Arabidopsis thaliana: one gene and its partners. Each later gene encodes a partner of the first gene's protein in a complex. Each region holds a gene or a part of one and is shown on either strand. Other genes may lie near its edges. The genes, in order: AT1G12400, GTF2H2, AT3G61420 and UVH6.

Region 1 (5,484 bases):
AAGACATTAACGCAGAGACTGTGTTGTGTTGACCATTTTCTGTTGACTCATAAAGTACATTTCTTTGTAAATATTTTTTTTTGGTTTGTGTTGAAAGTTGTTTATTTTTGACTGCAACCTTTTACAACTTCCATTTTTTTACCGACACTTTTGGTTCCTACTAATTCCAACCATTTTTTTACTTTTTGTTAATCTCAATAGCAATTTTGCTTTCATTTGCTTTGTATGAATGTTCATGAATCATGTGTGTCTTGGCCGTCGTTAGAAGTTTGAAGTCATGATTCATGAATAACAACATCCTTTGTACTCTTCACAACTTCTACCTCTTTTTAGTTAAAAGTAAAAACCCAAAAAAACATGAACACACACTAAATAAAATTATGACTGAGGACCAATATTTACCTAAATAAAATTACTGGCCAATGGACACATTTAGCTAAATACCAACCAATCTGTAGCAGTCCAACAAAGTACACATGCTTTTCACTCATAGCCAAAAACTTAGAATTTTACTTTAGTATGTCGTTGATCTATGAATAATTTAATACAACCTATAAAACCATATCAATGCGAACAAACTCATACTAATGAATATTAAAAACACATTTTCTTGATCAACTATTCCAGCTAATTAACCACAACAAAGACTATTTCTTATGTGTCACACACACACATACACACACACACACATAAGTCTTTCTATATTTTACCCTTGATTTTCTACTCTTATTCCAATGCAAAAAGTGTCTTGAACTTGAACTTGTAAATCTCTCTTAGTAAAACGTATAATTAAAGTTATAAGTGGAGGTTAGTAGGAGTCAAGTTTTAATTGGTCAATATCTAATGTCATAAAATCCATGTCACAACTGTCTCCCACCTTCTAATGTAGAAGTATCATGTATGCATGCTTATATGTATGAATGATCAATGAATTCTAAAGTCTAATATACAAAATCCACCCATAACTGTATCTATATAATAAAAAGGCAGAAAATTAATTTCTTACCACATAATTTAGAGCAGTCCTATCTTAAAAAGATGGATAGTACTATCTATAAGAATGATCTTGTCTGTTACATACCAACCACCCAAAAACCATGGATTATGCCCTCTAATTTTATTTTTTGATAAACGACGTTTGCAATATAGTGATGAGAACTATTAATAACATCACTTTGTCATACGTTTTATTAACTTAAGGTGTCTACAATGTAAACAATGTAACAATATATCAAAGTAACTTCTTACGTTAATCTCCACTTAAATAAAATAATGCTGATTTTGTGAATGAAATTTGAAAATAAAATGTTTAGAATTGATATATACTTTTTTGCATGATACTTTTCATACGTGGAATGAGATTTCAAGATTGGTCCCTAAATGCATATATTAACTAAAAATAAGTAACTGTTGACAGAAAATAGGTATGTTATAAATTTGAATCTTCATTTTCCAGTTAGTGAAAACGAAGAGCCAATCCTTTCAGTTAAAAAAATACTGATATTGATTATTACTGTATCAAACGTAAATTGCTTGATTTACAATCTTGTACGAGAACTTCTTTTCCCAACCACTCCACTATATCGTGTTATACCCGAAATAAATATATATATACCATGTAAGAAATAATAATAGTTGAAATAAAAATAATGCCACCTTTTACATTGATAGCGATAGTAATTATTTGATTATTGAACTTGGATGGATTTAGTTACTAACATAGCTTCTTTATTTTACAACTTAATTGAACCACACTAGAGAGGCCAGAATCTATAATTAGTGAGGAAAATCCGACTAAGCTAAACCATATTACAATTCCAAAATGCTATCCTTCATAATCTCAATCTCTTAATCCTTGCAATTATAAGTTATGGATTCACCGTTCTTGAGAAAAGAAAGAAAGAAAAATACATGGAAAAGATGAAGCTTGTTTTTCTTCGTACTAGAAAACAGCTGGCTTTTCTCAATCACATGATTGAATGGTTTCTGGTACCATTTTTGTTTTTAATTTTTCATTTTTGATTTCCTTAAAACTATACAATAAGACAATGACCTAAAAAAAATTATACACGACTCAACAAAAATTACACGGCTCTCGTGCCCAAACCCAAACTGTTTACTATTTAATTGGGCTAAATCTATAGAGGCCCAATGGCTTATAAATCATAGATTCATAATACTGAAATATTAAACCGGCGTAAATGGTACGTACTTCGGGAAATAACGAATTCGATTTTAACCGGAAACTGAACCGGAAGCTGAGTCTCGTGCCTGCCTTCTCTAGGCTTCTTTGTTTCCGATCAGAATCTCGAGCTCAACTGTCAAAACTAGCCGACCACTAAGTCGTTGTCCTAACTTTCTCTCTGTTCCTCATCGAACATTATTGGGAGGAGAGAGAGAGAGAGAGAAGACCAAGAAACAACGAGGATAGATCCGAGGAAATTGTCGGAACCAAAAGGAGGAAGATGGGAGATATCTGGACATGGCTTATTTCCTTCTTCTTCCTCATCGCTCTTGTCGGAATCATCGTCTATCAGGTGCGATTCCCAATTTCTAGGATAAATAAACCCAAAGTTCTTAACTTTTCTATCGGAATTTGCCAATTTTTTCGCTTACGGTTATAATGATACCATATTTGTCCATTTTGATTCATTTGGAGCCTTTTTTTTGTTTCTGGGTAGTCTGTGATTTAGCTAGAATTAGGGTTTTATGTTCTTGTCACATGTTTGGAAGAAGTAAAGGTGTAATTTTTGGGAATGTTATCATCAAAGGAGTAAATTCAGGAACATATATAGTGCGTATTGGCTTCTCAAAACACTTTTATAGGTTCATAGTTAGTTCTTATGTTGGATGTTCATGTCAGGTCTGAGGATTTACCTCCTTAAGCACAGGTTGTTCTTTTATAAATGAGCTCCATTTCGGCATAATGAAGTGAACCCTTTAGTTTTGTTTGTGTAGACTCTAATGAGAGGAGTCACTGAGACTGATAAGCTAGCAAACGGAATCTTCCATGTATAAACAGCTTGGGAAGACATTTTCTAGGAAGCTAACTTCTCTTTTCTGAATTTGAATTCTTTCATTTGCAGCTTGTTTGCTTAGCGGATCTCGAGTTTGATTACATCAACCCTTACGACTCTGCGTCGAGAATAAACTCAGTGGTTTTACCGGAGTTCATTGTTCAAGGAGTTCTATGCGTATTCTACCTCCTAACAGGACACTGGTTCATGACACTCTTATGTCTCCCCTATCTATACTACAACTTCCATCTGTAAGTCCAACTAATCTCAATCTTTTGCTCCAATCAAATGTTGTGGTATTGATATCCTTTCGGTTTCTCCGTTGTTCAGTTACTCGAAGCGACAACACTTAGTAGATGTCACCGAGATCTTCAATTTGCTTAACTGGGAAAAGAAGAAACGGCTGTTCAAGCTTGCTTACATTGTCCTTAACCTCTTTCTCACTATCTTCTGGTAACGAGAAAGATATTTCGAATCCCATTATTGCTTAACCATAAGTAGATCAAGAGAGCTAAAACACTTTCTGTTTGCAACTTTTTTTCGTAGGATGATTTATTCGGCGCTGGATGATTACGAGGACTGACTAATGAAGAAGACATGGTCCATCTTCTTCGGTTTATTGACACTACGCTTAAAGATACAGCGACATGCTTGTGGACATGAAAAAAAGCAAGGAAAAGTGTTTGCTTTGTGATGTTTGTAAGATTAGTGGCAGGAAGATTTGTGTATTTATTTCTTTCTTAGAAACATGTTCAGATTAACTGTTTTTTTTATGTCTTGATCATTATTTGTACAAGCAATCAAGCTCGTAAACTACTGGTTACAGTAACAATGAAACTGAATAATTTCAAATATAAGAAGAAAAAAAGTTAATTCATGTGAACTTTGACTTTTAAAAGTGAGAAACCCTTTTGAGTGATGTAATAAACGATAACTTAAAAGATGATCCGAACCTTCTGTTTCAGTTTTGTAATTAGGTTATCTTATAAAGCTAATCCTTCTCTCCTTTACTGTGACAATAATCGTCGTTATCAAGGTGATTTCTTTCTCTGCCTCAAACATCGCTTACCCTCTTGATTGATTCCTCCAATCTTCTTCGTGTGGTTTCACAGGTGTGTGGTTGATCTCTAGACCAAATTGATCTGGTTTCATCCTATTTCTATTTGGTCTGTAATCGTTAAAGTCTTAAGATTTGGGAATCGAGTTTATGTTGTGGTGTTTAGGTAGCGAAACCCCAGTTATGTAATCGTTGCATCTAGTAATTTGGGGTCCTTGAATTGAAACAAAGGATTAATCTTTCATTCATCTATGTTCTGAGTTATCGAGGATGTTCTTGGGTCATCTTTTGATGAAAATTGAGCTCAGATTATTCGTGTTTTGTATTACAGGTTTTACTTATGGTTAATGCAATCAAAGGAGTGTTCGTCTCTTGGTACTTCTTACCGTTGTTACGATTCCTAAGCAAATCTTGATGAACACAATTGAATCATTCATTGTTTCTTTGTATCTTTTGTTTGTTTGCAGCGATATTCCGATGACACAATTCATAGTGAACATGAACAATTCGATGCCTCCGTCTCAGAAATTCATAATTCATGTACTTGATAGTACTCACTTGTTCGTGCAACCACATGTAGAGCAGATGATCCGCAGCGCCATTTCTGATTTTAGAGATCAAAACTCTTACGAGAAGCCCACTTCTTAGATCACATCACATCACACTTGCTTCTTGTTTTTCTTTCATTTGATTCAAATGAATAAAAACTTCATTGAGATCGTGAGATTGGTTGATATGGCTCATGCTTTAATAGAGTTAAAGTGAACTTTGTTGACAAATAATCTCTCTGTACCGGTTTAGTATCAGTCGGTTTTCTCTGGTTGTGTTGATTACTTTGTCACTCTTTTGTTGAATAAACACGTTTGTTTGGTTATTGTTCAATTACTTGTAGTAGATAATAAACAGATTAAAGAATTCGGAAGTTCCAAATTTCATTTTACTCATGAAGGATGAACCAAGTAAAATCAGAAACTAAGTTAACCACATACAATTTGCACATGTGAACCAATTCGGTTAAGCAAACCAATAAACCAATCTTCTTCAACAAATTACCCAATCTGTATGTAAGCTTTTCCACTTCTTCTAGTCTTAAAATAAAACAAACAAAAAATCTAGTGTTCGGCTCTAACACGCTCGACGACCATGGCGGTCTCGTTTAATACAACGCTTCACCAGCCTTCTCTGAGTCCGAGGTAATCTTCAATTTATCTAAATTTACATACTTTTGTCTCTGTTCACACATATTCACTTGCATCTGATTGCTTTGTTATGTCCTTTTTGCAGCTGTAGCATCAAGCTTTATTCTGGGTTAAAGCCTCAATCTGCAAGTTTGTTCCTTTTCCTCTTAATATGTCCGAAAGTTCATGTTTTTAATCGAATTGGTCTGCGAGATGTGAGGGAACTGATTTA
Region 2 (6,777 bases), 2.8 Mb from region 1:
AACTAAGGACGGACTTGGAAGACAAAAGGATGGTTCTCTTTGACGAATGGGGCTCAAAGGGTTTGGTTCAAAACGTTGTAACATACACCGCAATGATCTCATCGGGTTTGTCCAAGGCTGGAAAATCGAACGAATCATTTGGATTCTAGGAAAGGTTAAAAAAATAGTAAATAGGGTTTATACAGCACGTGTTCAAAGTCTGCATTCAGCTGGGACTACAGTCGTCACAGTGATAACTGTTTGAGCTGGTCATTCTGTTGAGGAGATATGGTTGATGGTTTATTGGAATCAGAATCGTTGGTTTGGGGCTGTGACCATTGATTTCAACTTGTCAAGAAAGTAAAGTTGGTCTCTTTTTTGCAACCTCGGGTTAAAAGTCAAAAAGAGCTTCTCTCCAATCTATCTTCCTTCTTCAACCTTGATCTCCAAGGTTGGGAAATCGTTTTTTTAATCCTATTGTCGATTAAAAATCATATCTTTTTATGGATATCTGAGACCGAAGAAGATATAATAATATGTATAAATAAGAAGCAACGAGACTAATCAACCGAAACAACAACAAAAGAAAATGAGTTTTCTTGGAGCAGGGAGACTCGCGGGAAAAGAAGCTGCCTACTTTTTCCAAGAATCCAAACACGCCGTTAATCGTCTCGCCGAGAAATCTCCGGCCACTGGCAAAAAGCTTCCATCTTCTCCGCCGGATCCACCGGAAATTCAACCTGACGTTCTTCCGGAGATTCTACGCCATTCTCTTCCTTCCAAAATATATGGTCGTCCTCCTGATCCTTCGTCTCTCTCCCAATTCTCCAAATGGGCTCTTGAATCTGACCCGAACGCAACAGTTTCTATATCCCCTGATGTCTTGAATCCTCTCAGAGGTTATGTGTCTCTGCCACAAGTCACTTTCGGCCGTAGAAGGTTCAAATTAGGGTTTTATACTCTGTTTCACTTGATGAGTATTTCAAAATTTTGGATTTGTTGTTAATTTGTGTCGATTTTTATTGCAGATGGGATTTACCGGAATCTGAGAATTCGGTTTTGGCGTCAACAGCTAATGAATTGAGGAGAGACAGATACGGCACTCCTGTAAATCCTGAGAAATTGAAAGCTGCTGGTGAAGGGCTTCAACATAGTATGATCACTTCTCTTCTTTTGTTTATCTGCAAATCAAATCTTTTTGAACGTGGATAATTGGATTTATGGATACAGTTACCTACAGAGGAACATGACTAGATTTGGGTTGTTTGCTAGAGATAGAAGGATTGCTATCTTTACGTGTTCTGTTTTCACTTCCTTGCTTTTGTTAATGTTGATCATGTAAATTGCTTGCCCAAACTTGTCTATTTTACCTTGTTAGGGACTGCAATGGCAGTAATTCTGAAAGGTTTCAGCTTACTAGAGAAAACTTTGGTTTGTTTGGTTATGAAAGCCAAGATTTTCCGTGGCTGAGGGTTCATGAGTGTCTAATGTAACAACTGCTTTCTGGTTGTCTCTTTTTGACTCTGATGACAAATAATCTAAGTATCTCTCTCACAGCCTAGAAATTGTTGATAATATTGCTTAGATTGAGATTCTGTTATTGTCTTTTGTCTTTTAATGTTAATTGATGTCGTGAAGTGTTCGGAAAGTTTGCCTAATCTCGAGCCCTCTGATTTTTCTGGTTTCTGCAGTTGGAAAAGCATTTGCAGCCGCTACTATTATCATCTTTGGTTCAGCCACTTTGGTTTTTGGAACGGCAGCCTCGAAACTTGACATGCGTAATGTAAGATTGCATATGTTTCCATTTTCTTACTTAAATCATTTAGATTAGCATTTCTAAGCATTATTGACTGATCTTGAATGCCATCATCGCCTTACTTGGTTTTATTGTATGATTTTCGTTCTGTTAGGCTGATGACATAAGAACGAAAGGCAAAGATCTTTTTCAGCCAAAACTGGAGTCGATGAAGGAACAAGTAGAGCCCTTAAGAACTTGGGTAATGTTTTACAAAGATACTTGCATCTTCTCAACTGAAGTGGATCATAATCATTAATAGACTAACCCGAAAAGACCATAAATTTCAGGCTGAAAACATGTCGAAGAAGTGGCATATTGAGAATGAAGGTGGTAATACTATCAAGGAGAAACCAATCTTGAAGGAGCTTTCGAAAATTCTGGGACCTAAATCTTAAAAGGCCAAGACCTTTGGTTAATGTGTAACCATGTGGATAGAGAAAGTCAAAGAAGAAGTTCTATATGTTTGTAAGATTCAATAAGATCTTAGGTAAATTATCATATTGTGCTGTAAGAACTAAGAAGTTTCAATGTTGCTGTATAAAGGTTGTATCGAGTGATTTAAGTTTTGTATAATAAAGTTTTTATGAGTTTCAATATCAATGTTTCCTATTGTGTAAGCAAAATAAAATGTTTCACTTCTGATTGGACATGGATTGGTGGGTTAAATATACAGAATAGGAAGTTACAGTCAAAATTGTGAACGTTATAATAAGTAAGGGTTGTTTATGTAAATTTTGGCTTCAGTAGAGTTCTCTTCTTCTTTTTGTAATTAGGTCTCTTAGACGGTGAGGTTAACGATGAGTAATCAAAGAAAGAGATCAAACGATGAAAGAGAAGAAGAGGACGACGAAGATGCGGAAGGTATCGGCGAGTGGGAGAGAGCTTATGTTGACGACCGATCCTGGGAGGAGTTGCAAGAGGATGAGTCTGGACTTTTACGGCCAATTGATAACAGTGCCATTTACCATGCTCAGTATCGCCGCCGTCTTCGTATGCTCTCCGCCGCTGCTGCTGGTACTCGTATCCAAAAGGGACTTATTCGATATCTCTACATCGTCATTGACTTCTCTCGGGTAAATATTTTTCTTTGCAATCCGCCGCTGCTGCTGCTGATTTTGTGATTTTTAGCTTCAATGCCGTTTCCTTTGAGTTTGATGGCGTGAAATTGAGCTTATGTTGCTTTCATCAGAGCTTATATAAAAGAGAAACTATGCACTTTGGGTCACTGATAAGTAACTTTAATGTAATCGTCGTTCTAGTTTTGGAGATCTCTGCTCTTTAGTCTTCTCAATAGGTTCTATAATTGGCTCTGTATTGTTTGCAATGATAATCTTACTCTAAGTGGGTTTGTAGAGCTTAAGGATGTGATCCTTATTCAGATTCTTTATTGAAGGCAACATTATGATTTGGGTTCAAATTTCTCTAGTTCCAAGGTATGCAAAGTCTTACACTTTGGACTGTTTTGTCGTGTCTAGGCAGCTGCGGAAATGGATTTCAGACCAAGCCGGATGGCTATAATGGCCAAACATGTCGAAGCTTTCATTAGAGAGTTCTTTGACCAGAATCCTCTGAGTCAAATTGGGTTGGTCTCTATAAAAAATGGAGTTGCGCATACATTAACAGATCTTGGTGGTAGTCCTGAGACTCACATCAAAGCGTTGATGGGGAAGTTGGAAGCTTTGGGTGACTCCTCTTTGCAGAACGCTCTGGAACTTGTACATGAGCATCTCAACCAGGTTCCATCTTATGGTCACCGCGAGGTTCTGATATTGTACTCAGCTTTATGCACATGTGATCCAGGCGATATCATGGAGACCATTCAAAAATGCAAGAAATCCAAATTAAGATGTTCTGTAATTGGGCTCTCTGCAGAAATGTTCATATGTAAACACCTCTGCCAGGAAACTGGCGGATTGTATTCAGTTGCAGTGGACGAGGTGAGTTTAGCTACCTTCTACTTACACTTGGACCTTTGAAAAACTTGTTTTGTATGGTATAACATTGTGCTTTGTGTGTATTTGTCTTTTCACGCAGGTGCATCTAAAGGATCTTCTGCTTGAACATGCGCCTCCACCTCCGGCAATAGCAGAATTTGCAATTGCAAATTTGATCAAGATGGGTTTCCCACAAAGAGCTGCTGAGGGTTCAATGGCGATTTGTTCGTGTCATAAGGAAGTTAAGATTGGAGCTGGTTACATGTGCCCAAGATGCAAAGCTCGGGTATGTGACCTCCCTACGGAATGCACTATCTGCGGTCTAACACTTGTTTCTTCGCCGCATTTGGCGAGATCATACCATCATCTCTTCCCGATTGCTCCATTTGATGAGGTGCCTGCACTTTCAAGTCTGAATGATAATCGGAGAAAATTGGGAAAGAGTTGTTTTGGTTGCCAACAGAGCCTAATTGGTGCAGGTAACTACTTGAACACCATTTTATAGAGTCTTAATACTGTTGGTTGAATAACCATTTGGTCACTAGACCAGTAGTTGAACTTAAGATACGGTTCACCCTTGTCATAGTATATACAAAGTAACCGATCCATTCACTCAAATATAAAGGCTCATTGGTGCTTTTGTTTTTTGCTTAGGGAATAAACCCGTCCCATGCGTAACATGTCGTAAATGCAAGCACTATTTCTGTCTGGACTGTGACATATACATCCACGAGAGCTTACACAACTGTCCTGGCTGTGAGAGCATTCACCGTCCCAAATCAGTTTCTTTGATGGAAGAATGAGAGAATGAATGTGTTCACACTTCCAATTATAAATCACAATTGAGATGATGAGAGGAAGCAATTTTTTTTGTGATATAGGATGTTGTAATTGGTCTTATGTCCTTAACCAAAATCTTTCTTCTTTTGTGGACTCTATTGCTCTCTCACAATTGATCCAAAACAAACCGACTCAAATTTTCAGAGATAGCATTCTTAATTGTTTGATTTTCTATTTAACTTGGGCTTGAAATTTCTTCACTCATGAGAAAACGAACAGTAGTAATAAAGAATTATTTCGGTGGTAAACAAAAGGAGACCGTATCATCAGTTGTTTGTTGATACTGTCATGACAAGGTCGCAACTACTTCCCTAAATATCTCTCTGTTTGTTAGAAGCTTTTATATTAGATCTAAGTGAAACAATTCTTAGTGATTGTCATAAGTAAACAACGTACTTAATCTTTGAGAAAAGTCCCTAACACCACCATGAAGGAAGAAGATACTAACGTCACTAGGTTCTGCAAGGCAACGTCTGCGTGTAAAGATGCAGCATTCTACTACCTTGAAGGATTCGACTGGAATCTCGAAGACGCCATCTCTGGTTTCCTCGGTGATCAACTTCCTCCGCTCAAAATAAGAGCGACTCCACGGAGGGTGAATGAATGGCGAGAGCGATCTCGATCTCCTTTAAGAAGAAGATACTCTACTACCTCTGTCTCGGAATTTACGCTGAAGATGCGCCAAGATGAGATAACCATAACGAAAAGCTCTGATACGGGTGCTTTGGCCACCAGGTGGGTGATTTAATAATATTAAGGGCTCGGTAATCCAAATCATCTAAAAAGAATGTTTAATCTTGTTTCTTTTGTTTTGTATAGTTTGGATGATAGTGGAAGAGAGCTTCATGATTCTGATGATATATCTCATGGAGAAAAAATTGTGTCTATAGCTAATCCGGTGAATCAAGAGTTTAAAGAAGAGGTAAATTCTATTCTTGCATGCTACTCCATTACCAGTACTGTCTTTTGCTTATTATACCTATAATCACATCTCTTTCCTTTAAATGATGTGTATTGTATCACCTTAGGGATCATCAGTTCAAGCTACGAAGATTTGTGAATCCACCTCCATTGAGATTCACTTGCCTAGACCGGATCCTTATTCGGACTCTGACTAAGCTGATTGGACTTTTTTCTTGAGATGGAAGCAGATTGATGTATAAATCCTTTATTGGTACTTCTTTATCCAATCTTGCTCACCTACTCAACATATCATTAAACCTTGATCTTACACAAACTTTTTTTTTTAGGTAAACCTTGCACAAACTTCATATACACACAACTTAAATTCTTCTTGAATACGATTCAGAAAAGTCTGGTGTTTGATTATGAGGATCATATCTAGACTGTAGAAATATCTTAGTTGTATTTATTATGAGGACCAGTGACCTCTAAGTCCAGGTCCAATATGGTATTGGTCCATACTTTGTCCTCAGTAATTGATTGATCTTGTCTGAAGTTCAAATTGCCACAAAGTTTAGAGTCAAGCAATTTGACGTTGTCTATTATGAGTCTTATCATCGTTATAAGTGGTTTGGCTGCAGAACCAAATCATATGTACCAAATTTCTCCTTCGGTCTCTTCTTTTCTTTCAAGTCTTTATTGGTAAAACCGCTTTTGCCTGTTTTCTCCATCTCCTGTTTCTTGTGTTGTGTCTTTCTATCCAGCTTCTCTGTTATCAGTCTTTTTTCTTTGCCACTTCCTCGTCCCGACCAAATTGAGATCCTTTTTGGCTTTTAAAAATGAATTTCCATTCCCCAAATGCAACTTGACTTACTCAAATGCAACGACAAATTTGATAACGAGACCGGTGTAGTGACGAAGCTAGACCTATATGGTGCATGTCTCAGAGGCTCCCTCAATGCTAATAGTAAGTCTTTTCAGACTTCATCACCTCAGGTATCTCGATCTCGCTTACAACCACTTTGACTCGTCCTCATTCTTCGCCCAACTTGGAAGACTCACCAACTGAGAGGTCTTGCATCTAACTGGTATGGGCTTAGTCGGAGAAATTCCATCCTCAATCAGTAGCCTAAGCCGTCTTTACTTCCTTGAGCCTTTCACAAAACGAACTGACCGGTAGTTTTCCCCCTTTATACAATCTAACCAATAATCACTTTTCTGGAAACCTTCCTTGTTCTCTACTCACCATGCCTCTTGTGTCAGAGATTCATTTGGACCAAAAACCATCTTAGCTACTCTCTTGAAACTATGAATTGCTCTTCA
Region 3 (9,744 bases), on another chromosome or scaffold:
CTCCAAGACCACTTCCCTTGGTGTAACCATGAGCCACAGTGTTAGCTCCTCCTCCTAGAGCCTGGTATTGCTTAGGCTGGAACCCTTTAACCACTCCAGCACCACAGATAGCTCCCAAGCACTGCATCACTATGTAGTACAGAGCTCTAGTAAGCGACAGCTTCCGGGCTAAGAACAGACCAAAAGTAACCGCTGGGTTGATGTGTCCACCTGAGAGTTACATATAAAAAAAATACATTCCAAGATTAGGCTAAAGGACACAATTCATATTAGAAAACTGCAAATTCCACCAAGATTGTAGCTTTCTGAGATTTCTTGAATCAGATACAAATGGAACAAGTTCAGGCTAAGAAGCTATAAATCTAAACACAATTTTCTCAAGATTATAGCTTTATCGTCTTCTTTCACAACCCAAACACTCGGAAACCTAATTACAGTAAAAAGGCGTATACTTGGAGAAGTAGAGTGACTTACCGGAGATACCAGCGGTACAGTAGACTAAGGCAAATATCATACCACCGAAAGCCCAAGCGATTCCTTGGATTCCGACGGAAGCACACATGTTCGGTGACCTTTTCACTCCCATAACAGTCAAGACAGTGATGTAGAGAAAGAGAAAAGTAGCGATGAACTCAGCGATCCCAGCTCTCCAAAAAGACCATGAAGAAAGCTCACCAGGTTCGAAAAACGGAGCTGGTGGTGGTTCCTTGTAGTCCTTGTCACTCTGAGCTGATGTTCCGATTGGTTGTCTCTCCGGGAACTTGTTAGCTCCAACTCTAACGTCTTCTTCCTTGCCTTCCATATCTTCGATCTCTGTAGAGAGAAATTGTAAAGCTCTGTTTTTTTTCTTCTTCTTCTTCTCTGAGTGTGGGATTTGAGAAAGTAGAGTGGTTAATTATATAGTTGGAAGATGTAATGCAAAGAAAGTTGAGAAATAAAAAATAAAGACGATGATGACAAATTGACAATAACATAAAATTTTGTTAATGTTATCTTCGTAGTAATCATACTTACTAAATAAATCTAATTATTGGATTGGGTCAGTGATAATTTAACCGTTTGGACTTTGGACAGAGTTTTGAATGCTCCATTCCAGCTATTTTTGTAGTTTTATCAGTAATGTTTTCTAATCAAAAATAGATCAATGTCTGTTTTTAATAATCCCTCATGATTGTCACTAATTTGGTTAGTTACTAACTGTTACGAACAAAACATGATCCTCCAGTTGAGATGATCTGGCGTTTGCCAGCCAGGATAAGAAGTTAAGAACATCTGTACCATAAGCACCATGCACATTCATTATGTACCATGACTATGACATTCTCCATAATGATTAATGAGTGTACCTACAGAGTTGGGAAATTAAGAGATAGTACCAATAATTCTGTTTTTTCTCTCTTCATGATCGTCTAAACTAACTTTTTTTATTTATGATGATTGATAATCGTTATCGAACTAGTGAATAAATTTTTTCTATCATCAAAGTTACAAAGCACTGGTTTGTGCCAAGATTACAAATTATTTGTTCCTACCACAAAACGTAAGTAGTGTACTAATTGCCAAATAGAAAAGACAATGTTAAAGAAAACAAAAACATGCTTAGTGGTTGCTATATTGTTCTGGAATGGGCCCTATGGCCCTACGCTCTTGTAGCATCCAAGGGCCATCTTGATTACCACCTAGTATTTTCCAACTCCTTATCAATCATTTTGACACTGTAATTAAGTAATTAATGATAAAAAAGGCTCATGTGAGATACTTTCTCAAACTAAAAATCCACATTTACACGATTTGAGGACCTTCAATCTTTAAATTATTATTTTTATATGTATATTTAAGCTGCAAAATAGAAACACTTAAAACCAAAATGTTGAAACATCAGCTAAAATCACTAGCCACTAAAAAAAAAGACCGACCCATTAAGCCTCATGACATGATAAAAGAATGTGTGAAGTGTGATTTTGGAATTTTTATGTTGGAGACTGATTATTTAATAGCCGTCCAATGCATCGACGATAAGATACGTGGAGTCATACCACCTAATGCCGGCGCCTTACATATCCAAAACCGACCATTTATCTTATGACATATGTACTCGATCAATTTATTAATTTTATTGTGGCTGCTATTCATGATTGCATTTGCCCCACCTAGCCACCCCCATTTGCGTCACGGCTCCATAAAAAAAAAAAATATTCATTGACCAAACACAAAAAAACAAGCGAAAATTACCAATGTCCTCCTAACATGAAATTAATAAGACAAATGTTATCGTCTGCCTATAATAAACTAAAAAAAAACAATAAAAAAAAGTTGCGACTTTTAGCTCGAGACAATAAATGGGCCATACATATACGGGCTTAAGCTAACAACACTACTATTGATCGCAGGCCCGGTTAAACAAGGCTCGTACACGTGGCTCTTGAGACTCATCAACTTCGGGTGTGAACTGTTGAACCATCTCAAGACATGAGCTATCACGGCTCGTACACGTGGTTCTAACCACCTCATTATCTCTCGAACTTAAAATTAACAAAATTCCCAAATTATTTAGCTATTTTTGTCTGATCTGCCGACGCTAGCCGTTCTCCTCCGCCAGATTCAAATATTTCCTCCGCCGTCGACACTCCTTACCTCCTCCGGCTCACAAACTTAATCCACCAATTTTACCATGCTTTAGAACCTTGGGCATATATCAATGGAGAAGCGAGTCAAATACAAGAGCTTTGTGAAGGATCCAGGAACTCTTGGATCCCTCGAATTAGTAAGAATACTTTAACTCTTTGCCACTATATGATTTCTATTTTTGTTTCCTTACTCAATGGTTTTTTTCTCAAAGGATCTTCCAATTTTTGTTCTCAGAGTGAAGTGATGCTGCTCTTTGTCCCAAATGATCCTAAATCAGATTTGAAGCTTAAAGTTCAGACTCACAACATCAAAAGTAAGTGTTTGATTATCCATATTGTTCATTCAGATTTATCATGAATAATTTCTCTAAATGATTATTGTGCCATGTTAAATTTCTCAGGTCAGAAATATACCAAAGAAGGATCAAATAAACCTCCTTGGCTCAATCTGACCAGCAAGCAGGTTGTTTTTCCTCGGCCCTTTTTGCTCAAGGCTAAAAAATATTGATAGGTGTATCACTGAAGTTTCCTCGTCTTTGATTATTACAGGGAAGGAGTCATATCTTTGAGTTTGAAAATTATCCTGACATGCATGCTTGTCGTGATTTCATCAGTAAGCTCCACGTGCCATGATTTGGTGTTATTGATTCATTTTAAGTATTTTTTCTGTGTTTCTTTCGTGGTGTTGTTGCTGTAACCAATTGTGCTATGAACAGCTAAGGCCCTTGCTAAATGTGAAGAGGAGCCTAATAAACTAGTTGTCTTGACACCTGCTGAACAACTTAGTATGGCAGAATTTGAGCTACGCTTCAAGCTTCTTCGAGAAAATAGGTGTGTAATCACTTATAAAAGTTGCTTTCTTTTTGGGTAAAAGTTTCTGATATTATGATAATGAAGTGAGTTGCAGAAATTGCATAAGCAATTTGTGGAAAGTAAAGTCCTGACGGAAGACGAATTCTGGTCTACGAGGAAGGTTGGTTCTTTGTTTGTTTCCTTGATGTTTCAGTTTTGCTCTTCTCGTAAGTCTCAATCGTAATAGTTATCAACTGTGTTCTGATCGCAGAAATTACTTGGTAAAGATTCCATTAGAAAGTCAAAACAACAGATGGGGCTCAAAAGCATGATGGTTTCAGGCATCAAACCGTCTACTGATGGCCGGGTATGGTATAATACATCCATTTGCTGATAAATTTTATATGACATTTCATCTGGTTTAACCTCTCTTCAATTTTTGATCTTTCAGACTAATAGGGTGACGTTTAACTTAACGTCTGAGATAATTTTTCAGGTTAGCTATCTGGTTCACTATCTTTCTCATTGATGTAAGGGCTATATAAGTTTCTGAATTTGAATCCAAGCGCGATCCTCCAGGGTCGGGATAAGTTTATATGGCCAATGGGGTTGAAGTTGCAATTGGTGATATATTGAGTCATAAATTCATTACTAGATGTTCGGGTTGCATCATGTGCTTGAACTTACAAATTCCAGTGGGAAACTAGAATTGAAAAGTAAAAACATTTTTAACTAAATGCTGCTTCATTCATACTACTGTCCTTTTCTCACATATGATATCTTCATAACTCTTTCAGATTTTTGCTGAGAAGCCGGCTGTTCGCCAGGCATTCATAAATTATGTTCCGAAAAAGGTAACAAAGACTTCAGCACTCTGACCATCTTTGTTTATTGGTTTAATCATCAAATACAATGATTCATAACTGCCTTTCGTAGTTATTTTTCTACGCCAGATGACAGAAAAGGACTTTTGGACAAAATATTTTAGAGCAGAATATCTTTACAGCACAAAAAATACAGCAGTAGCTGCAGCAGAAGCTGCTGAGGATGAGGAACTCGCTGTCTTTCTGAAGCCTGACGAGATATTGGCTCAGGAAGCTCGTCAAAAGGTCATTTCTTTTTTATAATTAATTATTTCCATGTCATTTGCTTAAAAGGATAATGATTGTGGTCTAACCAATAACCATTTATTTTAAATGTCATGTTTGTAGATGAGACGGGTTGATCCAACTCTTGACATGGACGCTGACGAGGGAGATGACTACACCCATCTTATGGTAAGCCAACTATCAACTCATTCTGCATCAAGGTTTATTGAAACGATAATTTCAAGTTAACAGTGTAGAAATTTCCACAGATAAAATAGGTCTCTCATCGGCTTTTTCAGTGTTGGTGTTTACATATTGTCTCACCCTAGAAGTAGTAGTAGCATGAGAAGCATTGTGCTCCATAGATGATACTAATACTGACGGTGATAAGCATCAACTTGTAACAGTGTGTCAAATGTTTTGTTTTCTAGAATTTCATCAATCCTTTTATAAGTTATTCAATCAAGAAAATTTATGTTCTCACAAATGTAAATTATGGACTGTGTAAACTATATTTGAATTATGTGATCTATTTCTTGCTTAGAAATTGAATTTCATTTAGTGCTTTATCTCCCACTCAGGTCCATTACTTTATATTAGCCTAACGCTAGTATCCAGAAAACAGTGATCTTATAACTTACATTTTGCTCTTTCTATATGTTGGTTGAAAGGTTATTCACATTTTCTGCTGGATCATATTTTATTTTGTGCTTAATTAAATTTCCTGTCACTCAGGACCACGGGATCCAGCGCGATGGCACCAATGACATTATTGAACCACAGAATGACCAGCTTAAGAGGTCACTTTTACAAGATCTTAATCGTCATGCTGCTGTTGTATTGGAAGGAAGATGCATCAGTAAACACTTTCAACTCTGATTGTTTCATCTGGTGTTTTGTGTAACAGTATAAAAAATAGCCATCAAATGACTTCCCAACAGATAGTTGATGAGGGATAAACATGTATTTTGGCCCTCTGCTTTTAGTTCTTGGTGGTAAAGTATACAATGATACTCACTTATTCTTTTATACTGGAAAGTAGATGTTCAGTCTGAAGATACGAGAATTGTTGCAGAGGCTCTCACACGGGCGAAACAAGGTTTGCTGTTTCATTATGATATGCTCTACTTATCTTTTTCTTTTTCTATGCTGATCAATGGCCAATGCTGCAATTCATATTCATCTGACCTAGGTATCCATGTCTATTACCCCTGGTAGTAAGCAAAGCTGATGGTGAAATCACCAAGGACGCTAATCAGGAGAGGTTGGAGAGAATGTCCCGTGCAACAGAAATGGAGGATCTTCAAGCACCACAAAACTTCCCATTAGCACCACTCTCTATCAAGGTCTTGGCTTTTTGTGATAAATAGGTTTACACTGTTGATGATGAAAGATGGTGCGTAAATCCTCGTACCTTCTCTTGTTTGGAATCAGGACCCTCGTGATTACTTTGAATCTCAACAAGGAAACATCCTCAGTGAACCCAGAGGAGCAAAGGCGTCAAAAAGAAATGTCCATGAAGCTTATGGATTACTAAAAGAATCCATTTTGGTGATTAGAATGACGGGATTAAGTGATCCGTTGATTAAACCTGAAGTTTCCTTTGAGGTGCTATTCTATCTCAATATAAAATGCATGCTGCCTAAAGAAACCATGGCTTATTGCTTTGTTCCCTGAGCTAAATATTGCTAAACCCTATCCAGGTTTTCAGTTCGTTGACCCGAACTATCTCAACTGCCAAAAATATTCTCGGGAAGAACCCGCAAGAGAGCTTTCTGGACAGATTACCAAAGTCCACTAAGGATGAAGTTATACATGTAAGTCTGACATCCTCCAATGTCCCAAGTAACAAGCAGCTCAATATATACTGATTACTGTAATTTGGTTAATAATGCCTATGGATATTGTTGTCCCCTCAAATGCATCAATACTTTTTCCTTTTTTCTCTCATATACAGCACTGGACATCAATACAAGAATTAGTGAGACATTTTTGGTCATCTTACCCAATAACAACGACATATCTTAGTACCAAGGTAATGTTGTTGCCACTTCACATTCTTCCAATCATAGAGTTTGCTATGTACATAGATTCTTCAGGATCAAATTGAAATTTATTTACACTGAGAGGAAATTCTTATACTAGGATGTTATATTTTATCATGCAGGTTGGTAAACTGAAGGATGCAATGTCCAATACTTATTCACTACTCGATGTAAGCTATGGAATTCTTCTTCAAATCTTTTTCTCGGAGTAATGCGTTAGAAAAGTAGTTCATTATATCTTCATACGAATGCATTTACACAAACATGAAATTTGGGTAAAATGAATAGGTGCAGAGTTGTAGTCGAAACTTACAGCATATGGTCTAGTGTTTATGGTTTCCGTAATATTATACCGAATGTAAACCAGGCAATGAAACAGTCGGTGCAGTCTGATCTCCGGCATCAAGTTTCCTTACTAGTTCGTCCAATGCAACAGGTTAGCTTCCTTCCAATTCATAGATAGTTTTATTACATCATGTCTTGGTGAAGTCTTATTTTTTCCACTCGCATTGTATCGATCCAATTTAACCAGCAAAACCAGACATTGCGTTGTAATCCAGTTTATGAATTGAAATCTGAGTGATATTAACCCGTTTTCTCCACCAGGCTCTTGATGCTGCGTTCCAACACTACGAATCGGACTTGCAGAGAAGAACCGCTAAGATTACATAGAGAACGTTTTGTACTTGGAAAGAAAGAGATTTCCTTCGACAAAAAATTAAACATTGGACTGAACATTTAGATTTTGTAGTGTAATAGATAAGATTCTTAAAGAACTTGAGTGAGAAGCATCATTAGCGGGATTTGGCCAAGAATGTTGCTTGTGCTACAAGGAACCTCTCAATACCCCAATTGTTTTTTTTTTGGGTGGCAAAACAGTTGGTTAAGAACTTGATTGAGAAGCATTAGCGGGGTTTGGTTAAGAATGTTGCTTGAGCTATGTAGTCACTGAATCGGTCATTAAACTCTCATAAACAGAAATCGATGATGCTAATACTATTGTTTAGTTAAAGGTTAGATATGTTGCTAATGAATTTGTTTAGTTTTGTAAGAGCATAGTGATAATTGAGAAATTGGATAATATATAGAGAAGACGATGGGAAGTGTATAGGGGTATTCGGGTTTAATTAACCTAGCATTTGTTTTGAGAATGTTTGTAATAAATTTGTTTACCATAAAAAAACCTTATAGAAATTAAATTAACCTAACCTAAAAAAAAATAAAAAAATGAAAAATGAGAATAAGAAAGAAAGAAAGTGAAGACAGAAAGGTTCACAGAAATAGCCATCTAGAAGAGCCTCACCGACTTCATCAGCCACCAACGAACCCTGAGATTCTATTTTCATCATCTCGAGCCATGAGCCATCGCGGCTCGTACACGTGGCAATTATAACCCACTCCATTTTCTCTCTTGTCTTTTTTTTTTTTTTGCGCGAGAAAAACTTAATTATTAAAAAGAAATCCCAAAATATTATTAAGCCCTTCTTTCTCTCTCTTATCCGCTCCTGTCTCTCTCTCTCTCTTGGTCTGTTTCTGCCGCCGCCGTCGCCGTTATCCCCCGCCAGATTCAAATCTTTCTTCCACCATCGTCACTCATTGCTTCTCCTCCGGTCGTAAGGTACGACACGCTTGTATTCTTCTTATCTATTGCTTTCTCATCGTCGTGTTTCTCCATTATATGTATCTCTCTATGCGTGTGCTACTTGTTCGATTGTATCGTTTGATCATTTGAATGTTATCTATGTCTCTCTCTCTCGCTGTTGGTATTCACTCTATTCCTCTTTTAATTTCAGTCTCCATTGTATCAATTTAAGTTTCGGCACCTCTGTCTTTTGTTTCATTTTTGGTATTTAGCACCTCTCTCTTCATTTCTGGGCTTAGGGTTTTACGAATTCATGATTGAGGTGCCTCTTCACATTCGAGAGAAACTTACTTTCCATCAAAAAGAGAAAAAGTTGAATCGATTCTGAACTTACTAATCTAGACTCTCTTAGTTTGTGTGGACCTGGTTGATGCATTTTTGATTAGATGCCAGATTCAATCTCGAGCTTTCTGAGTGTTTACCAAGTTTGATTTCAAATTTATGATCAATACATTGTTTCTTCTCTTGTACCCAGTTTAGTGTTAAGTTTCCGGAAATTGATTGAGATTGATGTCTCGATGCTCATAGACCTGAAATAATCCTCCTTCTGTGCAGTATTTGGAACCTTGAAGACTTAAAAATAACAACTTTTTATAGTGGGCGCTGTCCAATATATTGGAGAGCTTGACAGTGTAATAAGATATATACTCTACAAGCGTTATACCCGAAGACTGGGTCTATAAATCAATGTCAGAAGGTGAAATGGCCATCATTAAACCAGAGGTAAGCTCTGATACTTTAACTAATGTGGATTTTGTTGGCGTATAGCTAACTAACTCACATGTATTTCGTTTACTTATTATGGCAACAAGGACCTATGTTAGTTATCATAAAGAGTGAGGGTTAGTATTGTTAGATATTTTGCTCAAATGTACTAGCAAGGTTAGATTTTGGATACATAACAAGTTAGCAACCATTTGCGTCAATGTTTTATATTAATCGTGATTAATTAGTCTCTAGTAGTTCTTATCATATGCGTTTACATGACCTACTCGTTACATCATAGATTCTTTTCATAGTAATAGTGTTTTATTTTAAGTGTTATCTTCTTTATGTATGGAGTTTTTGAATGATTAGTTGAGCTTTTACCTTGCACCAAGACTAATTACTTTTTTTGTGGTATCAACATAGATGATGAAATCCTATATATGGCTTGAAACTGCTGATGGCTCAATCCAACAAGTGGAACAAGAGGTTGCAATGTTCTGTCCCATGATATGTCAAGAAGTAATACAGAAGGGTGTTGGGTCTTCTAAGAACTACGCAATATCTCTTCCACAGCGAGTCAATCCAGCCATGTTAAGCCTGATTTTTGATTACTGCAGATTTCATCAAGTACCTGGACGTTCAAATAAGGTTTACTTGAGGTTATTAAATTTGAAACAATTAATGACATGTCGATTATCCTATGCCTTTTTTTCATAGAGCTCTTTGTTACTTTTTAGGAACGTAAAGTTTATGATGAAAAATTCATCCGGATGGATACAAAGAGGCTCTGTGAGTTGACCTCAGCCGCTGACAGTTTGCAGTTGAAGCCGTTGGTTGATCTT
Region 4 (8,907 bases), 3.4 Mb from region 1:
ACGGAATCCGAGAGATATGAAACATAAAAAAAATGAGAGGGTTTTATACCAAATAATCTTATGTTTTATCATTAGGTAACTTTATTTTTTGTTTTTAATTAGTGGAAGTACACGTGTAATGAAAAATAACATACAATATGGTCATGAACTATATTTTTTTTGTCAAACTATTCGTTACTAAGTTATTTGATAAAAATAGCACGATTATACGCGCGATGATATATATCAAATTGTGGAAAATGTTATAAAGTAGAAAATTGGGCCGAAGCTGGATCCAATTATGATTCTCAAATAACGTGAAGGAAGGCATTTTAGTCCCCTCTATACGGCCCAACCACTCGCCACCGCTTATTGGTCCAACTTCAGGGTACTTTGGTAATAAATCAAAGCTTAGCTTTTGAAATTAATAAAGTATAGGGGTTGATTTGTTATTCTCAGTTTCTATCGGGTTAATTTGTCATTTGCATCGTTTCTAGTTTCCACTTTTGTTGGGTGATTTTCTTCTCTGGAAGGATCTGTTTTTCTCTTCTTCGTCTTCTCTCACCCGCCTACTGACTTTTTTTCAAATTTCTTCAGCAACACATACATACAGTCACAAGGTTTCCAATTTTCGATTCACGATGGAAATGGCGGAAGGGGAAGGAACTACAGAGGAGAACTACGACGTAGACATCGCGACCACCGCTTCTTCATTAGGCGGCTCCGGCGTCTTCCATATCATCAATGACATAGTCGGATTCGTCCTCTATATGCACCAGCAGATCCCTTCGTATGTTATCTCTTCCTATCTTCGTATCTCTATGCTTCGATGTATCCTTCGATCTGGTGATGATGTATCTATTTGTTTGTTCTTCAATCTCTCCGTTAATTTCTCCGATTAGTCTGTTGGTTACGAATTTATCAGAAGAAAAATAGTTTCGTGGTTATGAATTTATGGATTCTGGATGGATTAGTGATTAATTCCTGGTAGGTGAGTTATGTTCAATTCTAGGAGAAATTGAAAAGCTCTACGCAATTGTGCACACTACTTCCTTTTGGTTTTAGAATTAAGTCTGTTGTATCCACTATGAGTGTTTTACTGAAAACCAGAAACTTCAATTTGCAGCTTTGGTTTTGGCTACACAAAGCTCCTTCTACCAATATGACTGTTGTTGGTTATTTACATCTGTGCAGGGTATTACAAGACATGAGCCTTGAATTTGAAGGATTGCAAACTGAATTTATGGATTTGGTATGTTAGTCCTACAGACGCCATTTTCACTTTAAGGTCTAAGGTCTTTTTCACACTCTAAGAATCTTAGGTTGTAGGAGACGAATCTTGCAGAACCTCAAGTGAAACCACTGGTTAGAAGAAAACTGATGAGTAGAAAGAGAGAGGTGAAGAATGAGATTAAGAAACTGGAGAAACTGATGAAAACCATCTCTAGTCTCCGAAGTGCGCTGCAGTTAATGATCCGTGAAGCTCCTGGCATTCAGAAAGTTGTGTTGATTCTTGGTGGTAGTCCATTACGGCCTCAAAATGCTTATGAGTTGTTATTCACACAACGCAGAGACCATGTTCTAGGCTACGAAGGTGACTTTGCTAAATCCAAAGCTGCAGAAGCACTTTCAAAAAAGGTTTATTCTTTTTCTTACCTCTGTTTTCATGTTGCTTGTGATTTGTCTCTTTTCAATTTTATCTGCTGTGATAAGTCAAAAATGGTTGAGCCCTTCACTCTTGGCTTTACAGACTATCCGAGCACTGATCTCGACGGGTGCTGGATCAACTTCCTACCCAGGTAACTTTTGCATAAATTGCAAACTTCTTTAGCATTGTTGTGAATTATGGTGTAATGATTTTTTTCCCTTCTTCTGAGTTGCAGGTCCAATGAGGCTCTTCATATTGGTTCATGCTCCACCTACTTTGAATCTTCCACAACATTTCCTTCCTAAACGTGACTTCAGATACAACAGAAAGGTATACACTTCTCTGCTAATTCTATTTCACACATCCATGTACAACATTCCGATTTTCCGTCACCTGCAAACATCTTTTATTATTGCAGTTTGTGCCTTCAAAGTTGAGATTCAAGTGCAGAACGCAAGACAATGCAACAAATTCTCCTCCCACAAATGATCTAATATGGTACTTCTCTTATTCACAATTCTCCAGTTACACACTAAACAAGTTCTTGACCATGCCTTACTGTGTCATTGCAGGTATCAATGTCGACATGTGATAAAGGGATTAGCTTTCCATCAACCAGTTGAAGAATAAGACTTTAGAGTTTGTTTGTATCTCTCTATTGTTGTAACTAAACCCTGTTGCAAATTTTAGAAAAAAACCAGCATTGTTGAAACAATTCCAAATCTTGAGATGACATTGTACTACTACTACTGCATACTCTAATACTCTGTTGTTTTAACAAAATCAGGATTGTTCAACTATTTTATATTTTTGGACGAATTGTTAACATTTAAAAACCTAATTTTGTCGAGAAGTTTAATATACATAAAGTTAGGGGGTCAAACGCATTAAAATAAATAAATAGGGGGTCAGAATGAAAAAGAAACAAAGCTTTAAGTTTTTCTAATAAGAGTCCTCCTCTTCTGTTTGCTCTGGTTACTTCGGCAAACACAGACGCAAAATTTTCTTCTTCTTCTTCTTCTTCTTCTTCTTCTACCTTGAAGCTGCTACCGGTTCCTCTCTCAGTCGTTGATAACACATCGAAGCTTCCATTATCACCTGTAAGTTTTCTCCTGTTATCTTCTCTTCGCTTGATCTCAATTGTTCCTTCTTTCTCGTTGTTCGGGTTTATCTACTCCAACTTGAATCGCTTGTTTTGCTAAAGTGAATTCGAGTTTTTTAGGGTTTTGTTAGTTCTAATGCCAATTTCGATTTCTAGGTAGGAGGAAGAAGATGATCTTTAAAATCGAAGACGTAACTGTCTACTTCCCTTATGACAACATATATCCAGAACAATATGAATACATGGTTGAATTGAAGCGAGCCCTAGACGCTAAGGGACATTGTCTTCTCGAGATGCCTACCGGAACTGGTAAAACCATTGCTCTTCTCTCTCTAATCACCAGCTATCGACTCTCTCGTCCTGATTCTCCGATCAAGCTTGTTTACTGTACTCGTACTGTCCACGAGATGGAGAAAACGTTAGGTGAGCTTAAGCTACTACATGACTACCAAGTACGCCATCTCGGCACCCAGGCTAAGATCCTCGCCCTTGGTCTTTCCTCTCGGAAGAATCTTTGCGTTAATACTAAGGTTTTAGCAGCCGAGAATCGTGATTCTGTTGATGCGGCCTGTAGGAAACGAACTGCTAGCTGGGTTAGGGCTTTGTCCACGGAGAATCCAAATGTAGAACTCTGTGACTTCTTTGAGAACTATGAAAAGGCTGCTGAGAATGCGTTGTTGCCTCCTGGTGTTTATACTTTAGAGGTAAGATTAAAAAAGTTAAGGTTTTTCACATTTGTTGTTTGATCAAGTTTATGTTTTAGTTGGAATGCTTATTTCGAGGTTACTTGCACATTTTGCCTGATGGTATATGTGTGTTTCGATTTTTAGGATCTAAGGGCGTTTGGTAAGAATCGTGGATGGTGCCCTTACTTTCTCGCGAGGCATATGATTCAGTTCGCCAACGTTATTGTTTACAGCTACCAATACCTACTGGATCCTAAGGTTGCTGGGTTCATATCAAAGGAGTTACAAAAAGAGTCAGTTGTAGTGTTTGACGAGGCCCATAATATCGATAACGTGTGTATTGAAGCACTCAGCGTCAGTGTGAGGAGGGTTACACTTGAAGGAGCTAATCGAAATCTTAATAAGATAAGGCAAGAAATTGATAGGTACGCTAATTTTTTCCTATATAGCTGATACTCCTTAAGTTCTCTTGAACGTGCCACTCTTAATACAACAATAAACACAGTGATAGGGTCTTTTCTTTTTCAATTGAATTTCCTGATTGTTCTTGAATGCCATCTGGGTGTCTGCTCACTCCAGTTGCTAATTGTTGGTTTTCTTAAGGAAGTTTAAGTTAGTAAGAAAATAATCTGGTTTTATGAGACTGCTTTTTGTCAAAGAACTGTAAGGGGAACAAAAATTTACAAACGCTTTTGTCATCATCTTAAACACATGAAGCATAATTTTCTTGGTTCAATACAGGAAGTGACCTGGTTATTTGCTGATGCTTATTTTTAAGTTCTTATTACATTATTGAAATTGTCCAACTGGTAGGAAGGTTCAAGGCTACTGATGCAGGAAGATTGCGAGCTGAATACAACCGGCTGGTTGAGGGTTTAGCACTGAGAGGGGACTTATCTGGTAAGTATGTGTTCAGGAAGGTGATCTGTGATTTGATTGAAAGCACACAGTAAATTTTCTAATTCTATGAACTTGACGCAACAATTTTTTTTTTGCAGGAGGTGATCAATGGCTTGCAAACCCTGCACTGCCTCATGATATTCTAAAGGAGGCTGTCCCGGGGAATATTAGACGGGCTGAGCATTTTGTGCATGTTTTACGCCGATTACTTCAGTACTTGGGGGTACGGCTGGACACTGAGAATGTAGAGAAAGAAAGCCCTGTTAGCTTTGTATCGTCACTGAATTCTCAGGCTGGAATTGAGCAGAAAACACTGAAGTTCTGTTATGACCGGCTCCAGTCTCTCATGCTAACCCTTGAAATTACAGATACAGATGAGTTTTTGCCTATCCAGACAGTGTGCGACTTTGCAACTCTTGTTGGGACATATGCCCGGGGATTTTCCATCATCATCGAGCCTTATGACGAGAGAATGCCCCATATTCCAGATCCTATATTGCAGGTAAATATGGTGTTGACCTACTTTCTTTTGAGTATTGTCACTGGGATTTTAAGGGATTATGACTCACACGTAAATGCTACCGTTTGAATAATTGAGAATTGTATCTGAAACATATATCCTTTTGTATCTTAGTTGAGCTGTCATGATGCGTCTCTGGCGATCAAACCGGTGTTTGATCGTTTCCAGTCAGTCGTGATTACATCAGGCACATTGAGCCCAATTGATCTTTACCCCCGTCTTCTTAATTTCACTCCTGTTGTTAGTCGAAGCTTTAAGATGTCAATGACACGAGACTGCATCTGCCCTATGGTTCTAACTCGGGGAAGGTATGTGGTATATAAAAAGAATCCTGAACACTTAACTTATTTTTTAATTTTATATGTCTTGACATTATTGGTTGTTTTCTTTTTCAGTGATCAGCTTCCTGTTAGCACCAAATTTGACATGAGAAGTGATCCTGGTGTTGTGAGGAATTACGGAAAGCTTTTGGTAGAGATGGTATCTATTGTTCCTGATGGAGTTGTCTGCTTCTTTGTTAGTTACTCATATATGGATGGCATTATTGCTACATGGAATGAAACTGGAATTCTGAAGGTAAGGTCTTCTTCATCGCTTTACCATGCCAGTAATTTTTTCAGAGTTTTGCATGAATTGGAATTTTTATGATACCTCAAAATATTTTTAGTTGCTTCAGGCATTAATGTATATTTGTTTACTGATATTACCAATTCTCTTAATGTTTGTAGGAAATAATGCAACAGAAGCTTGTTTTCATTGAAACACAAGATGTTGTAGAAACAACATTGGCACTGGATAATTATCGCAGGGCTTGCGATTGCGGAAGAGGTGCAGTTTTCTTCTCTGTGGCCAGGTAAAATTTTTATTTTTGAATGGTAGATGGTTTGGGAATTCATTGCAATGCGTCTTTGGTTCTGCTTCTTTGTTTCTGTATTATAATACTGGAATTGTCTCTTCTCTCCTATTCTTGGTTGGTTAACAAATATTAAAGAGGTTTCACTTTTGAGAAATTTCAAAGAAAGTGATCAAATTTTGTATTTGAACTGCAGGGGGAAAGTTGCTGAAGGTATCGATTTTGATCGTCATTATGGAAGACTGGTTGTAATGTACGGAGTACCATTCCAGTATACATTAAGCAAGTAAGTTGTACTCAAATGAATGTTTATCATTTCAATTTCCGGTTTTCTGCTTTTATATTTCATCGTACTTGGGAGATGATAAGATGGAAACGGGAAAAATTTCAGGATATTACGAGCAAGATTGGAGTATTTGCACGATACATTTCAAATAAAAGAAGGCGATTTCCTAACTTTTGATGCCTTGGTATGATTCTTATTTTATGATCTTATTAGATTTTGGTGTGCAACTCTTTTACCTGTTTGTGACTGTTGTTAACTCTTTTTGGCTTTAACACAGAGGCAAGCAGCTCAATGTGTAGGGCGAGTAATCCGGTCAAAGGCTGATTATGGGATGATGATATTTGCAGACAAAAGGTACATGCCCGCCTTAAGTTTTCTCTCTCTGAGTCTGGTCATTTAGATTCTTGCTATTTTACTAAATGGGATTCTCTCTATAATCTATCTAGTATGATAATAAGTATATGCGCAAGTATCTGAGATCACCTCGAGAATAGAAGATTGTAACAGAGTTCACACTGTTCCTTAGGAATGGGAAAATATTCGTAGGACAGAAGAGAGACACAGATATATGCTTATGTTGGTTTATAATGTCACATTTCTATGGTCTAACAATACACTGCAATTGATGGTAAAACTTGCAGATACAGCCGTCATGATAAGCGGTCCAAACTACCTGGTTGGATACTTTCGCATCTGCGTGATGCACACTTGAATCTAAGCACTGATATGGCTATTCACATTGCTCGAGAGGTAAACCTATAACTCGCTGCTTTTTTATAACTCACAGTGAAACAAACAACAAGGCATAAAGAATCAACAATTTTCCTGGTTTTTGTTTTTTTTGCAGTTTCTTCGGAAAATGGCTCAACCGTATGATAAGGCGGGTACAATGGGAAGGAAAACTCTGTTGACACAAGAAGATTTGGAGAAGATGGCTGAGACTGGTGTGCAAGACATGGCTTATTAGTAAATCAGTTTGTTTGTTATTTTTTGGTTTAGGTCAATCAAAAATTGTTGTAGCAAAAATTTTCACTGTAGGTATTTTGTTCTTTTTCTTGATGATTTTCAAGAATCGAATTGAAATTTAAGGCTCGTAAAAGTTTCGTTTTGGTTTTAAATCTATTGAAATTAGCAAAATTTATGCTTAATGTTAAGATAACTAGATTATCATATTCACTCATTACATCATTTTAGATCAAGAAATACTTCGTCGGCTCCTTGTTAAATCTATCAAACATACCACTAAAAAAAAAAAATCTTAAAGAATGATTAAATAAATTTAACCAAGCAGTAGAAGTGGAATTGAAATTGGCAGAGTTAGTGCGACGACCCAATCACCTGTCTCCAATAACCGCCTCAAAAACTGTCGAAGCCCATTGGGCACTTGCAAAGCCCAACAGTTGGAGTTCCAGCTCACCCACTAGCCGTTATTACGCAGGCTAATTTTTCAACGTGCGAGAAACCAGATTTCCTTTTTCCCGAAGACTATTTAGGGAATTTCCTCTCTTGAGCCAAATTTTCCTTTTTCCCAAGGGGGGTATTTAGGTATTTTCGTCTCTCTCGGCCAAGTTTCCTTTTTCCGTTCCTCCGTAATAAAGCTTTCATTCTTTTTGTAGGTTTCCATTAGAAGTTCAGAAATACTGTTTATAAATACAAATCCAGAGTCAGAGATCCATTCGATAGCACTTTCCTCTCTTTCTCTCATCGTAAAACCGTTCTTCGTTTTTTCTATTTCTCTCGTCTCTTTCTTCTACCCAGATCACTGATCAACCGTGAATTTTACTCTACTCTTTCATCAATTTTACTGTGTTTAATTCATAAAACAAAACAAACGATCGATTTTTGTTTTTTTTTGGGGATGAAGATCAGAAGCAAAAGCAAAGGCTATCGTCAAGAGATCAAATCAACTTGCACCGACTCCAACACTCTGTTCTCAAAAGGTACTTTTCGTCTTGTTGGAATTTTTGGCCAAATAACGTCTTTTTTTTATATGGTATCTAATTACTGTATTCTGGTTGATCGCAAAACAAAGAATTCTCATGTTTAAAGTGGGTTTCGTCTAATCCAATTTGAATTTTAGGTCTTATATTATTTCCCTAGCTCTAACCCTAATCATATATTTCTCAAAGTTTTTGATTTTTATTCAAGATTCCTTCTAATCAATTATTTCTTCTTTGTATGTAGATGTGGTTGCAACTTCGGAGCTTTTTTCATCTGTGATATCGTAGCGTGTGAAAGACGGATAATTCTACAGAGACAATGCATCATCCCATTCGGTCAGGTCAATTTTCATCCCTATTTTGTTTATAATCTATAATCTTATAGATAGTTTAATTACAAAAAAGGTTTTTATACTTTTGATTTTTCAAAACAAAATATATTTCTCAAAGTTTTGATTTTTAAAAGTTTTCAACTCTTTTTTATTTTTCTTTTTTTTTATAAATACTAAATTAATATGACATTTTGAAATCTAACCGGATTTTGGATCCCGCCATTTAACCTTGGTCATTAGCGATTCCACAAATCCAACAAGTTTTTCACATCTTCATGTATATTTAGCATTTATTTTTCTTAAAAAGTTTTCAACTCTTTTTTTTTTTTTTTTAAAGTTTTATAAATACTAAATTAATATGACGTTGTGAAATCTAACCGGATTTTGGATCCCGCCATTTAACCTTGGTCATTAGCGATTTCACAAATCCAACATGTTTTTCACATCTTCATGTATATTTAACATTTATTTATTTTTTTAAAAATTCAACTCTTTTTTTAAAGGGTTATATAAATATTAAATTAATATGATGTCGTGAAATCTAACCGGATTTTGGATCCCGCCATTGAACCGTGGTTATTAGCGATTCCACAAATCCAACATGTTTTTCATATTTTCATATATATTTAGCATTTATTTTTTATTTTCTTTTCTTAAAAGG

The links.
Region 2: AT1G12400 (region 1) and GTF2H2 share a complex: the UniProt entries of both Arabidopsis thaliana proteins name them as parts of the 7-subunit TFIIH core complex.
Region 3: AT1G12400 (region 1) and AT3G61420 share a complex: the UniProt entries of both Arabidopsis thaliana proteins name them as parts of the 7-subunit TFIIH core complex.
Region 4: AT1G12400 (region 1) and UVH6 share a complex: the UniProt entries of both Arabidopsis thaliana proteins name them as parts of the 7-subunit TFIIH core complex.

What each region holds. Positions count from the first base shown.
Region 1 is NC_003070.9:4,217,882-4,223,365, forward strand, and holds AT1G12400 (Nucleotide excision repair, TFIIH, subunit TTDA), read left to right. Parts: upstream 1-3,945; 5' UTR 3,946-4,129; intron 4,130-4,405; 5' UTR 4,406-4,414; coding exon of another isoform or gene 4,415-4,449; 5' UTR 4,450-4,488; coding exon 4,489-4,722; 3' UTR 4,723-4,984; downstream 4,985-5,484. Other genes in the region: AT1G12390 (Cornichon family protein), read left to right, coding at 2,466-2,537, 3,087-3,268, 3,348-3,470, 3,564-3,600; CLP2 (CLP protease proteolytic subunit 2), read left to right, coding at 5,218-5,267, 5,359-5,402. UniProt on the Arabidopsis thaliana protein: Component of the general transcription and DNA repair factor IIH (TFIIH) core complex, which is involved in general and transcription-coupled nucleotide excision repair (NER) of damaged DNA and, when complexed to CAK, in RNA transcription by RNA polymerase II.
Region 2 is NC_003070.9:1,446,650-1,453,426, reverse strand, and holds GTF2H2 (general transcription factor II H2), read left to right. Parts: upstream 1-2,525; 5' UTR 2,526-2,574; coding exon 2,575-2,850; intron 2,851-3,252; coding exon 3,253-3,714; intron 3,715-3,811; coding exon 3,812-4,190; intron 4,191-4,365; coding exon 4,366-4,514; 3' UTR 4,515-4,796; downstream 4,797-6,777. Other genes in the region: AT1G05060 (coiled-coil protein), read left to right, coding at 569-918, 1,008-1,132, 1,671-1,762, 1,890-1,976, 2,065-2,172; AT1G05040 (UBA-like domain protein), read left to right, coding at 4,979-5,286, 5,371-5,473, 5,580-5,669. UniProt on the Arabidopsis thaliana protein: Component of the general transcription and DNA repair factor IIH (TFIIH) core complex, which is involved in general and transcription-coupled nucleotide excision repair (NER) of damaged DNA and, when complexed to CAK, in RNA transcription by RNA polymerase II.
Region 3 is NC_003074.8:22,724,715-22,734,458, reverse strand, and holds AT3G61420 (BSD domain (BTF2-like transcription factors, Synapse-associated proteins and DOS2-like proteins)), read left to right. Parts: upstream 1-2,306; 5' UTR 2,307-2,698; coding exon 2,699-2,764; intron 2,765-2,839; exon of another isoform or gene 2,840-2,862; coding exon 2,863-2,941; intron 2,942-3,028; coding exon 3,029-3,090; intron 3,091-3,176; coding exon 3,177-3,240; intron 3,241-3,343; coding exon 3,344-3,458; intron 3,459-3,524; coding exon 3,525-3,600; intron 3,601-3,690; coding exon 3,691-3,786; intron 3,787-3,870; coding exon 3,871-3,915; intron 3,916-4,216; coding exon 4,217-4,273; intron 4,274-4,372; coding exon 4,373-4,528; intron 4,529-4,630; coding exon 4,631-4,696; intron 4,697-5,242; coding exon 5,243-5,366; intron 5,367-5,549; coding exon 5,550-5,606; intron 5,607-5,725; coding exon 5,726-5,853; intron 5,854-5,941; coding exon 5,942-6,115; intron 6,116-6,210; coding exon 6,211-6,324; intron 6,325-6,464; coding exon 6,465-6,542; intron 6,543-6,674; coding exon 6,675-6,722; intron 6,723-6,919; coding exon 6,920-6,988; and 4 more. Other genes in the region: PIP1A (plasma membrane intrinsic protein 1A), read right to left, coding at 1-210, 475-802; SK21 (SKP1-like 21), read left to right, coding at 8,882-8,917, 9,326-9,550, 9,640-9,744. UniProt on the Arabidopsis thaliana protein: Component of the general transcription and DNA repair factor IIH (TFIIH) core complex, which is involved in general and transcription-coupled nucleotide excision repair (NER) of damaged DNA and, when complexed to CAK, in RNA transcription by RNA polymerase II.
Region 4 is NC_003070.9:772,923-781,829, forward strand, and holds UVH6 (RAD3-like DNA-binding helicase protein), read left to right. Parts: upstream 1-2,604; 5' UTR 2,605-2,727; exon of another isoform or gene 2,728-2,885; 5' UTR 2,886-2,899; coding exon 2,900-3,433; intron 3,434-3,559; coding exon 3,560-3,840; intron 3,841-4,232; coding exon 4,233-4,315; intron 4,316-4,413; coding exon 4,414-4,817; intron 4,818-4,949; coding exon 4,950-5,143; intron 5,144-5,230; coding exon 5,231-5,411; intron 5,412-5,563; coding exon 5,564-5,688; intron 5,689-5,884; coding exon 5,885-5,974; intron 5,975-6,079; coding exon 6,080-6,158; intron 6,159-6,251; coding exon 6,252-6,328; intron 6,329-6,615; coding exon 6,616-6,724; intron 6,725-6,821; coding exon 6,822-6,941; 3' UTR 6,942-7,122; downstream 7,123-8,907. Other genes in the region: AT1G03180 (non-structural protein), read left to right, coding at 621-769, 1,174-1,231, 1,309-1,617, 1,730-1,778, 1,863-1,957, 2,046-2,125, 2,200-2,257; AT1G03200 (uncharacterized protein), read left to right, coding at 7,833-7,914, 8,159-8,202. UniProt on the Arabidopsis thaliana protein: ATP-dependent 5'-3' DNA helicase, component of the general transcription and DNA repair factor IIH (TFIIH) core complex, which is involved in general and transcription-coupled nucleotide excision repair (NER) of damaged DNA and, when complexed to CDK-activating kinase (CAK), involved in transcription by RNA polymerase II.